Macaca fascicularis: one gene and its partners. The protein of the gene in region 2 binds, or shares a complex with, the protein of the main gene of each other region. Links are inferred from orthologs where the notes say so. Each region holds a gene or a part of one and is shown on either strand. Other genes may lie near its edges.

Region 1 (2,991 bases), on a different chromosome or scaffold from region 2:
TTAAGAGCTGTAACACTCACCACGAAGGTCTGCAGCTTCACTCCTGACAGTGAGACCATGAGCCCACCAGAAGGAAGAAGCTCCAGACACAGCTGAACGTCTGAAGGAACAAACTCCGGACACACCATCTTTAAGAACTGTAACACTCACCACAAGGGTCTGCGGCTTCATTCTGGAAGTCAGTGAGACCAAGAACCCACCAATTCTGGACACAATAATGTATGTACTGCCTAATAACTGGGGTATTGTAAAGGTGAGGCTCTCAAAAGAGAGGTACTATAATTTCTTTGTAACATCCTAATTGCTGTCCAAAACCAGACCTGGTTTTATAATATTAGCTAACATTTACTGAGCAATTCCCTTGAGACAGACAGTTTCAAACATACATGATCTCACCTCTTCTTCATAACAGTAAGGTAGTTTCTATTACTGTCATTCCCATTTCACAGACTGGGAAATGAGGACAAAGACAGATTAAGTAAGTTGTTCAAAGTCACACAGTCAATAAAGGGATAAAGCTGGATCTATTGTTTATTTACATGAATACTGACATCTTAGAAATTAAGAAAAACAAGTTCATACATCCATTTAAAATTCATTTCAGTCAATAAATTTTTGTTGAATGCCTATTATATGCAAAGTACTGATTTAAACTAATAAACTGGTTAACACCAATGTTACAAATATAAAGTCCTTTTAAAGTATCAATATCAAAATAAATTTTCCTTTCTGTGGTCCACAAAAGAAAAAAGATGTACCAGCACTTTTAAATTAAGTTTTTCAATTTCCAAAATACCTCCTTTAAAACAGAAGGGAATAAATTCCAACAATGCTATTTTCAACACATTCATTATTTAAAAACTTACTGGAATATCTGAAGATTACTTGCTGCAAGCTGGACTCGTGAAAATAAACCTTGACTTCACAGAGAAGTCTACATTGATAAATATATATCCGTTGAATTAATAACAGTGTAAGTTACACATATGTATACAAAAAAGTAAAATGACAAGGATGGAGAGGAGTTTTTCATGGAAGGTGGTGGGTTGCCATGGATTCTGCTTCTCTTGATTTTCTGAGGAGGGCTTGTTTGAGGGCACTAATTTTCTCATCAAGTTCAGCCAGTGAATAGTTCTGCTGTAAACAATAACGACACAAATTGCTGAATAAGATTCTGAAGTATCTTAATGCAGATAAAGTGCCAAATGAACTATAAATATTTAAAATATTTAAAAGCATGATCAAATGGGTTTTTTTCCCTCATGAGAATAATCTTAAACCTGCACAACTATATATGTTGACTATATCATAAATTTAAAAGCATAAAATAACAAGGCTTAAATATTTCTCTTTTCTAATGATTAAGCTCTCCTGAACCTTTTATACTTTGAAAGAATAAGTTTACAAAAAAAAAAAAAAAGCCTGATTATTAGACACTGGAGCCTATTTGAAGATGGGAGGAGGGAGAGGACTGAAATATTGCCTATCGGGTATTATGCTGATTACCTGGGTGACAAAATTATCTGTACACCAAACCTCCGTGACATGCAATTTACCCATGTAACAAACCTGAAAACCCCTTGAGCTTAAGTAAAAGTTGGAAAGAAGAAGAAAAATGCTAATTATACTACTACCAGGAGAAAAAAATCATTTGAGATATCAGCTATCCCTTTTAATAGAAAACTTTCTATGTTGATTACTAAAGTTAACCTGAAGTGGAAAACAGTGAAGAAAACACTCCTTTTGCTTTCCAATAAAAATTGGATTTGTTCAAGTCTATCTATGTGAACACCCTCACTTGCATTAATATTTCTAATTTAGACACAAGTATTATGTGGTGACTATTAGGGGGTAAAGAGAAAGGGAAATTGGGACTGAGTGCTAATAGGTACAGGGTTGGGGCGGTGATGGAAATGTTCTAGACTTAGTGGTGATGGTTGTACAACATAGTGAACATACTAATAGCCACTTTAAAATTATGAATTTTATGTTATGTGAATTGTATTTTTAAAGCAGCAACAAAGTGTTACAGTTTACTACATAAGAGTAACTTTTAAAAACCTGATTATTCTCATAATCAATAGTAAAAAAAGTTAACTTTAAAAATAACTGCTTAAAATACCTAGAAATTCTCTCTTGAGGGATCAACTACAATAATTTACTTCTGGAAAAAATAATTGCTATCAAAAAATTTACTCGGAATTTTTTAAGAAAAAAAATGCTACTCTTAAAAATTAGAAAGTCTTCTCCAACTTTAAATTCACATTACCACTATTAAAGTCTAGCAAAGCCTTATTATTTAAGGTTCAACTAATTAGTAAAGTAGCACTTTAGACAGGGCCAGCTGAAGTCAAACTCTGCCAAACACCCTTTTTGATGTAGATGCTACTAATCAGAAGTGTTCACAAAAGGAAGGGATGGGGGGAGACTGAAATTACTTGAGCACTTACTATTTTTAAGCACTTGATGAATGACACATCCTTGTACTACTAAAAGCAGGACAAAGGTTTTATTTATTTAACCTATCTGAGTCATTCCATGCCCTTAAAAGAATTTTTCTATTCAAGTATATTAGTTTATACTGCCCTTTTCTTCAGTCGTAAATTGTACCAGGGTATGACCTAAAAGCAACCATAGTAGAAACTTTTATTAATAAGAAAGGTATAAAACTAATCAAACTATTTCAGAAACCAAAATGAAAATGCAGTAACTTACTTGAGGTGGTTGAACTTTTCTTCTTTTTCCAGAAAAGCTCTAGATTTTAAAAAAAAGTAATCAACGTTTAAAAAAATCTAAGCATTATTTTTTTCTTTATGAAATACCGTACAAATTACGTACAGCCTTGGGAACTCTGACAGAAAGAAAGCCAACCAATTTACCAATACCAATTATTGTCTGTAACCAACATCCACCTTATATTCTGCAAGTTACCCTCTAAAGAGGATGACATTAACAATATATAATAATAATACTGCAGCAACATGCTTATCT
Region 2 (3,522 bases):
GCGACAAGAGTGAAACTCCATCTCAAAAAAATAAATAAATAAAGGAAAAAAAAAGATACTGGCAGATTTCGCATTCCATTCAGTCATCCACAGACCAGTTTATCATCATCCCATACAACCAGGGTGTCCCTCAGACAGCTGCCGCCGAGTTCCCAGACTCCCATCTCACCCATCAGCTTCCAAAAGCAGGTGTGGTCCTGACAGACACAGGGCTTCGCCCTTTCAGGCACCCGGTGTAACTGACCTCTCTCTGAGCCTCTCTTAAGGTATGAATACAATGGATTTCCCTCATCGCATAACCCATTTAATTTGTTCTGTTAACTCGGCTACTATTTCTCCTCTCCATTTGTGATTGGTTTTCACCCAAACTTTTCCACCTTTGGAAGGGATGTTAGCTTTGGCCACTGTACCTGGTCCAGATTGCAGTGGCAGCAGTCTAGCACGTGTCCCCGCTGACCCCAATCCATTCCCATTTGTATGGGGTGGGGCCACACAGGTATAGACTATCGGCCTTCTGGAGCACTAGGCAGCTATGTTCACTGTTAACCTCATTTTGCAGATTGTGGTGAAGGCACAACCCACCCATCAGGCACTTAAAAATTCTCACACGAAGGCTAAAAAGCATAGTCATAATTTCTTGCTTAGGAACCATGTCATCTTCAGTTTCCAGCATCTTCAGTCACAGCTCTGCTCCCAGGACCACTGATATGGGAGGAATTGCACCAGTGTTCTTCCCCACTCCTTCTTCCCCACATCAGTTGATCCTACCTGTATGTGTCAATTTCTGGACTCCGGATTCTGTTCTGTTGATCTATATGCCAGTACCACACCATCGTGATTACCATAGCTTCATAGTAAATTTTGAAATTGGGAAATGTGAGTTCTCCAACTTTTTTTTTTTTTTTTCCCCAAGATTGGGGATAATCTGGGTCCCATGAATTTCCATATGAATGTTTGGATGAACTTGTCAATTTCTGCAAAGAAGTCAGCTAGAATTTTGATGGGGATTGCATTGACTGTATAGATTGATTTTGTCTCTTTGATAAAGGACTATTGTTAAAGATATCACTTATGATTTAACTTTAATGCCCTCTTTTTTAAAAAAAAAAAAAACAGAGTCTCACTCTGTCATCCAGGCTGGAGTGCAGTGACACAATCTCAGCTCACTGCAACCTCCACCTCCCAGATTCAAGCAATTCTCCCACCTCCACCTCCCACATTCAAGCAATTCTCCCACCTCAACCTCCAGAGTAGCTGGGACTATACGCACATGCTACAATGCCCGGCTAATTTTTGTATTTTTAGTAGACGCGGGATTTCACCATGTTGGCCAGGCTGGTCTTGAACTCCTGACTTCAAGTGATTTGCCCACCTTGGCCTCCCAAAGTGCTGGGATTACAGGCTTGAGCCACTGCACCAGGCCCTTTAATGTCTTTTGTAATGCTTTTGCATTAGTCAAAGGAGAAAATCATCTTGAACTCCTGAATTTGGATTTAGAAAATCAGGTCCATGGCTGGGCACCCTTGCCTGTAATCCCAGCACTTTGGGAAACCGAGGCAGGTGGATCACGAGGTCAGGAGTTCAAGACCAGCCTGGCCAAGATGGTGAAACCCTGTCTCTACTAAAAATACAAAAAATTAGGCCAGGTGCGGTGTCTCATGTCTGTAATCCTAGCACTTTGGGAGGCAAGGTGGGCAGATCACGAGGTCAGGAGATCGAGACCATCCTGGCTAACATGGTGAAACCTCTCTCTACTAAAAATACAAAAAATTAGCCAGGCATTGTGGCGGGCGCCTGTAGTCCCAGCTACTCAGGAGGCTGAGGTAGGAGAATGGCGTGAACCCGGGGGGCAGAGCTTGCAGTGAGCCGAGATTGTGCCACTGCACTCCAGCCTGGGCGACAGAGCGAGACTCCGTCTCAAAAAAAAAAAAAAAAAAGTTAGCCAGGTGTGGTGCTGCGTGCCTGTAATCCCAGCTACTCGGGAGGCTGAGGCAGAGAATTGCTTGAACCTGGGAGCCAGAGGTTGCAGTGAGCCGAGATCACGCCACTGCACTCCAGCCTAGGCAACAGAGCAAGACTCCATCTCAAAAAAAAAAAAAAAAAAAAAGAAAATGAGGGCTATGTTTTGGGGATGGGGACTCTGGCCTGGCTCGCAGGGTGCCACAGCAGCACAAAGGGCCACCGTCATGTCCTGCCGCTCTTTTCCTTACAGGAAGAGCGTTCGCGGAGCGAACACAACTTAGTGAACATCCAGAAGACCCATGAACGGATGCAGACAGAGAACAAGAGTGAGTACCTGGGCTCAGGAGAGAAAGGGGATGAGATGGGGCTGGGGTGGGTATGGCCAGGACTGGGACCGAGGTGGTCATTGTATTCAAAATAGATGTGCATGTATCTGCATATTCCAAAATGCAGCAGGGGGGACAGCTTTCCGTTAATCTGGGTGACCTGAAGAGCTAAAATCCCTCCACTCGGAGGATTCGAAAGGCACTGAAATGAGGCTGTATCTAGGGAACCTTGCCCTGAGAACACAGAAGCACCCCAGTTAGCTGGTGTTTTCTAGAAAGGAGCTTTGTTCCCAGGCGGCCCCTGCATATGCCCTGAGGCCCTCAGGTGGTCAGATTCTGGGGCTGGAGCTTTCTTACTCTGGGTAACTCTGAGAATTGTGTTTTCCTGGGTCCTGACAAATCATCTTCTGTGCGTGTCATGATGGGGAAAAGGTAAGACAGTCCTCTCGCAGATGTAGGGATGGCATTTGTACCATATAGAAATGTGGATTCATGGAGCCTGGGGGTATCCGTCTGGGGAGCACTCCTGAGCCAGCAGAGCTCTGACTGAAGCTACGGCCTCTCTGTGCCTCCACGAGTGTGATTCCAGTGCATGGAAGCAGTGCCATGCTACTGTGCCTGCCCTGGCCCTGCATCCTAATCCCTATGTTTCCTCTGCAGTTTCTCCCTATTACCGGACAAAGCTGCGTGGCCTTTACACAACCGCCAAGGCCGATGCAGAGGCTGAGTGCAAGTGAGTACTGTGCTCCCACTCCCCCGCCGCTCCCTCCTTGCCTCAGGGCTAGGCTGCAGGCACATTTGGACCAAGTCCCCAGCCTGCCTTCCTCCCATGGATAAGCTGATTGCTACTCCCGGCCTCTCCCTTGGGTCCGGCATTTCCTGTCCCACTGCTAGGCCCACTCTTCCAGTTACCTCTGCTGCTAACGCCTTTACAGAAGGCAGCAAGGCGTGAATCAACACTGCCATTTACTGGTTCTGTGACCTTGGCAGAGTCATTAAAATAGGGATATCAGGGGCTGGGTAGCTCAGATCTATAATCAAAGCATTACAGAGGTGATTGGGAGGCCGAGGTTAGAGGATAACTTGAACCCAGGTGTTTGAGACCAGCCTGGGCAACAAAGTGAGACTTCGTCTCTACAAAAAAATGTTTTAATTAGCTGAGCGTGGTGGCATGTGTCTGTAAGCTTGGCTGGGAAGTCATGCTCACATGACCTAAAGGTTTTATGGTTCTAAG
Region 3 (3,522 bases), on a different chromosome or scaffold from region 2:
CCATCTTCATTGGAAAGAACACCCACCAAAATGACAACATCCCAGAAAGTTACCTTTTGTTCTCATGGCAATTCAGCTTTCCAGCCAATAGCATCAAGCTGCAAAATTGTGCCACAAAGTCAGGTTCCTAATCCTGAGTCACCTGGAAAGTCCTTCCAGCCCATCACCATGAGCTGCAAGATTGTGTCAGGTATGCAGATGTGTGGAAGACAGTGTATGTGGAGTTGACTGGATGTTAAAATTGTTGGAACAACAAAACAAAATACTGTGGCTTTTTTTCTCTCAAGTTTTTCTAAGCAGTGTTTCTTTAACAAAAGGAAGTCTATCGCTGTTGATTGCAAAACTGTCACAAGGCAAAAACAAAGCTCATTCATATGGAAATGAATGGAGGAAATAAATGAAACTGAAATGGTCAAATTTTTGTCTCCTAGAATCACCAGAGGTAAAATGTTTGCTAGCAAATATGGCTGAACTACAGTGTAGGAATCGTGTTTGGGGATTATATACATGGAAACCACAGTGACTAGTAATAGAAAAAGTTTAGAAGCCTTTGGCGTGGAGTTAAGCTTTAAGGGTTAGAATTGGGTGGGAATTGAAATGCTTTATTCTCTCTGTAACCACATTAGAAAATTACTCATTCCTATTGTCAGTAGGTAGTTCCGAGTTGTCTTTTTCACTAAGGTTGGATTATCCTTTGTCTTGTGACAGTTTCACATATGTTAAGTAAAATTTAGTAGGAATACATACTTTATGGTTTTGACTGTTCCACCTTAGAACAAAACATATTTGTTAAAAGGCAATTGAAAATATCCAGGAAGTGTGAGGACTTCTGTACAATACTTAAATGAAGGGGGGAAAAGGGAATGTTTGGTGTTATAAGTAGACAGCTAAGCAGAAATATGATCCAAATCTTTGAAATTGATGAGAGATAAATAGCTTCTAATTGGTAGGCAATTTTTTTTGTTTTTGTTTTTGTTTTGAGATGGAGTTTCACTCTTGTCACCCAGGCTGGAGTGCAATGGCACAATCTTGGCTCACTGCAACCTCCGCCTCTCGGGTTCAAGCGATTCCCCTACCTCAGCCTCCTGAGTTGCTGGGACTACAGGCACACACCACCACTCCCGGCTAATTTTGTATTTTTAGTAGAGATGGGGTTTCACCATATTGGCCAGGCTGGTCTTGAATTCCTGACCTCAGTGGATCCACCCACCTCGGCCTCCCAAAGTGCTGGGATTACAGGTGGGAGCCACCGCTCCCTGCCATTGGTAGGCAATTTTACCTACCAGGTAGGAAAATTTTGGAATTTACTACTTCAGAGGTAGAATAGGCCAAACATATAAATTGATTTGAAGTTTAGAGAAGTTCATGGATGGTAAGTTTGATCAATAAAAGACAGTAGAGGATGTTTAAGTGTCAGTAACTTTTGAGAGTATTTTGCGAGAACACAAATCTTTCTGGATTATGACTGTGACATAGTATTGACAGAGACTTTTGCTCTGGGTAGGTGAATTTCATATTTTCCTATTCAAAACAAGACACAAGTTTCTTAAATCTAGCTATTTACTTACTAATGTCCTTCCTTCCTCCCTCCCTCCCTCCCTTCCCTCCCTTCCTTCCTTCCCTCCCTCCCTTTTCTCTTTCTTTCCTCTTTCTTTCTTGTTGCCCACGCTGGAGGGCAATGGTGTGATTTCGCCTCACTGTAACCTCCGCCACCCGGGTTCAAGGGATTCTCCTGCCTCAACCTCCCGAGTAGCTGGGATTACTGGCATGCGCTACCACACACAGCTAATTTTGTATTTTTAGTAGAGACAGTGTTTCTCCATGTTAGTCAAGCTGGTCTTGGACTCACAGCCTCAGGTGATCCACCCACCGCGGCCTCCCAAAGTGCTGGGATTACTGGCATGAGCCACTGCGCCTGGCACTTACTAATTTTCTCCCTAATTTTAGTGTCTTCAGGTATAACCAGTACTATAACAGCCTGCCTGTGGTGTTAAAAGATTTATCATATCAAGATTCAGCAGTTAAAAAAAAGATTCAGCAGTTTTGCATTGCTGTGTAAAGCACTGCTTTCTCAACTGTAATGTGCATACCAGGAGATCTTGTTGAAGTGCAGATTTATGTTCAGTTGGTCAAGGATGGGACCATAAAATCTGTTTCTTACAGTTTCCTCAGTGATGCTGATGCTGTTGGTCCAAGGATAAGGATGCAGAGCATGAAGCATACATCCTCTGCCTCCCCTATACCCCTGTTGCTGCTCAGTACTGGGAGCATGCAGTTCCATTTTATTTTCCCAATGTGTTACCTTTGTCCTGGTGGCACTGACCTTCTTCCTTGTCCTCGACATCTTACATGAGTTGAATATGTGTATTTTGTTTCTGTTCTCCCTTTTTAATTAATAAGGTTCCCCAATATCAACTCCAAGCCCATCACCATTGCCTCGAACCCCGACTTCCACTCCAGTTCACGTGAAGCAAGGCACTGCCGGCTCTGTTATTAATAATCCTTATGTTATCATGGACAAGCAGTCGGGGCAGATGATCGGAGCCAGCACTCCCAGTACAGGTGTGTATGTGATCAATATTTGTACAATCCAAAGGGTTTGATCTTTTTATTTTATTTTACTTTTTTTTGAGACGGAGTCTCGCTCTGTCGCCCAGGCTGGAGTGCAGTGGCCGGATCTCAGCTCACTGCAAGCTCTGCCTCCTGGATTTACGCCATTCTCCTGCCTCAGCCTCCCGAGTAGCTGGGACTACAGGCGCCTTCCACCTCACCCGGCTAGTTTTTTGTATTTTTTAGTAGAGACGGGGTTTCACCGTGTTAGCCAGGATGGTCTCGATCTCCTGACCTTGTGATCCGCCCGTGTCAGCCTCCCAAAGTGCTGGGATTACAGGCTTGAGCCACCGCGCCCGGCCTGATCTTTTATTAAAAATGTAATCCTGCCGTTACTTGATAGCCATGTAATTGGAGAATGAAATCTCCTGTAAACGAGAAGCGAGAATACATAAAAGGAAAGCCAATACTGTTCCTCTGAGGGGAGATTTACTCTGTAAAAGGTGCATTTTTTAGAATTTACTTGAGTTTTCTTTTAATTTCTAAAAATTCAAAATAAGCCGTAATTAATGTTCTTAAAAGAACAGTTGATTTTGTTTTCATTTGGAAGACTTACTTTTTGGGGGACTGTAAGCAATGTGGTTACTACCTCTTCCAAAGAAGCTTTTGCTAACATTGTGGGCCACATACATTTCTCCCCAGTCAAATAAAAAAGTGATACTATTTTCTTCAGAGAAGACCCATTCTGGTTGTGGGAGGAGAAATTGAAACCTTCAATTTTAAAGAGAACTCTAATAGGAAGAAGTCATCTTTGGATTCACCGTGTTCCTCATTATAATCCCATGCAGCTGTATCACGCTTTTTAGGTTTTTTTGAAATGCTTTCCCTAACATTATTTTATTTATTCCCTTCAGTTAGCCTATATTTATTATTAATTAATTTATTTATTTATTGAGACAGACTATTGCTCTT

The links. Proteins that work in one complex are often made in the same cells at the same time.
Region 1: SGF29 (region 2) and MBIP share a complex: the UniProt entries of both Homo sapiens proteins name them as parts of the ADA2A-containing complex. The link is inferred for Macaca fascicularis from reciprocal best matches to the Homo sapiens genes SGF29 and MBIP.
Region 3: SGF29 (region 2) and YEATS2 share a complex: the UniProt entries of both Homo sapiens proteins name them as parts of the ADA2A-containing complex. The link is inferred for Macaca fascicularis from reciprocal best matches to the Homo sapiens genes SGF29 and YEATS2.

Annotation. Positions count from the first base shown.
Region 1 is NC_088381.1:104,133,835-104,136,825, forward strand, and holds the end of MBIP (MAP3K12-binding inhibitory protein 1), read right to left. Parts: intron 2,755-2,991; coding exon 2,716-2,754; intron 2,622-2,715; exon of another isoform or gene 2,451-2,621; intron 1,138-2,450; coding exon 1,030-1,137; 3' UTR 514-1,029; downstream 1-513. UniProt on the Homo sapiens protein: Inhibits the MAP3K12 activity to induce the activation of the JNK/SAPK pathway. Component of the ATAC complex, a complex with histone acetyltransferase activity on histones H3 and H4.
Region 2 is NC_088394.1:27,843,903-27,847,424, forward strand, and holds part of SGF29 (SAGA-associated factor 29), read left to right. Parts: intron 1-2,212; coding exon 2,213-2,288; intron 2,289-2,948; coding exon 2,949-3,021; intron 3,022-3,522. UniProt on the Homo sapiens protein: Chromatin reader component of some histone acetyltransferase (HAT) SAGA-type complexes like the TFTC-HAT, ATAC or STAGA complexes.
Region 3 is NC_088376.1:95,674,071-95,677,592, forward strand, and holds part of YEATS2 (YEATS domain-containing protein 2), read left to right. Parts: coding exon 1-190; intron 191-2,400; coding exon 2,401-2,562; intron 2,563-3,522. UniProt on the Homo sapiens protein: Chromatin reader component of the ATAC complex, a complex with histone acetyltransferase activity on histones H3 and H4. YEATS2 specifically recognizes and binds histone H3 crotonylated at 'Lys-27' (H3K27cr).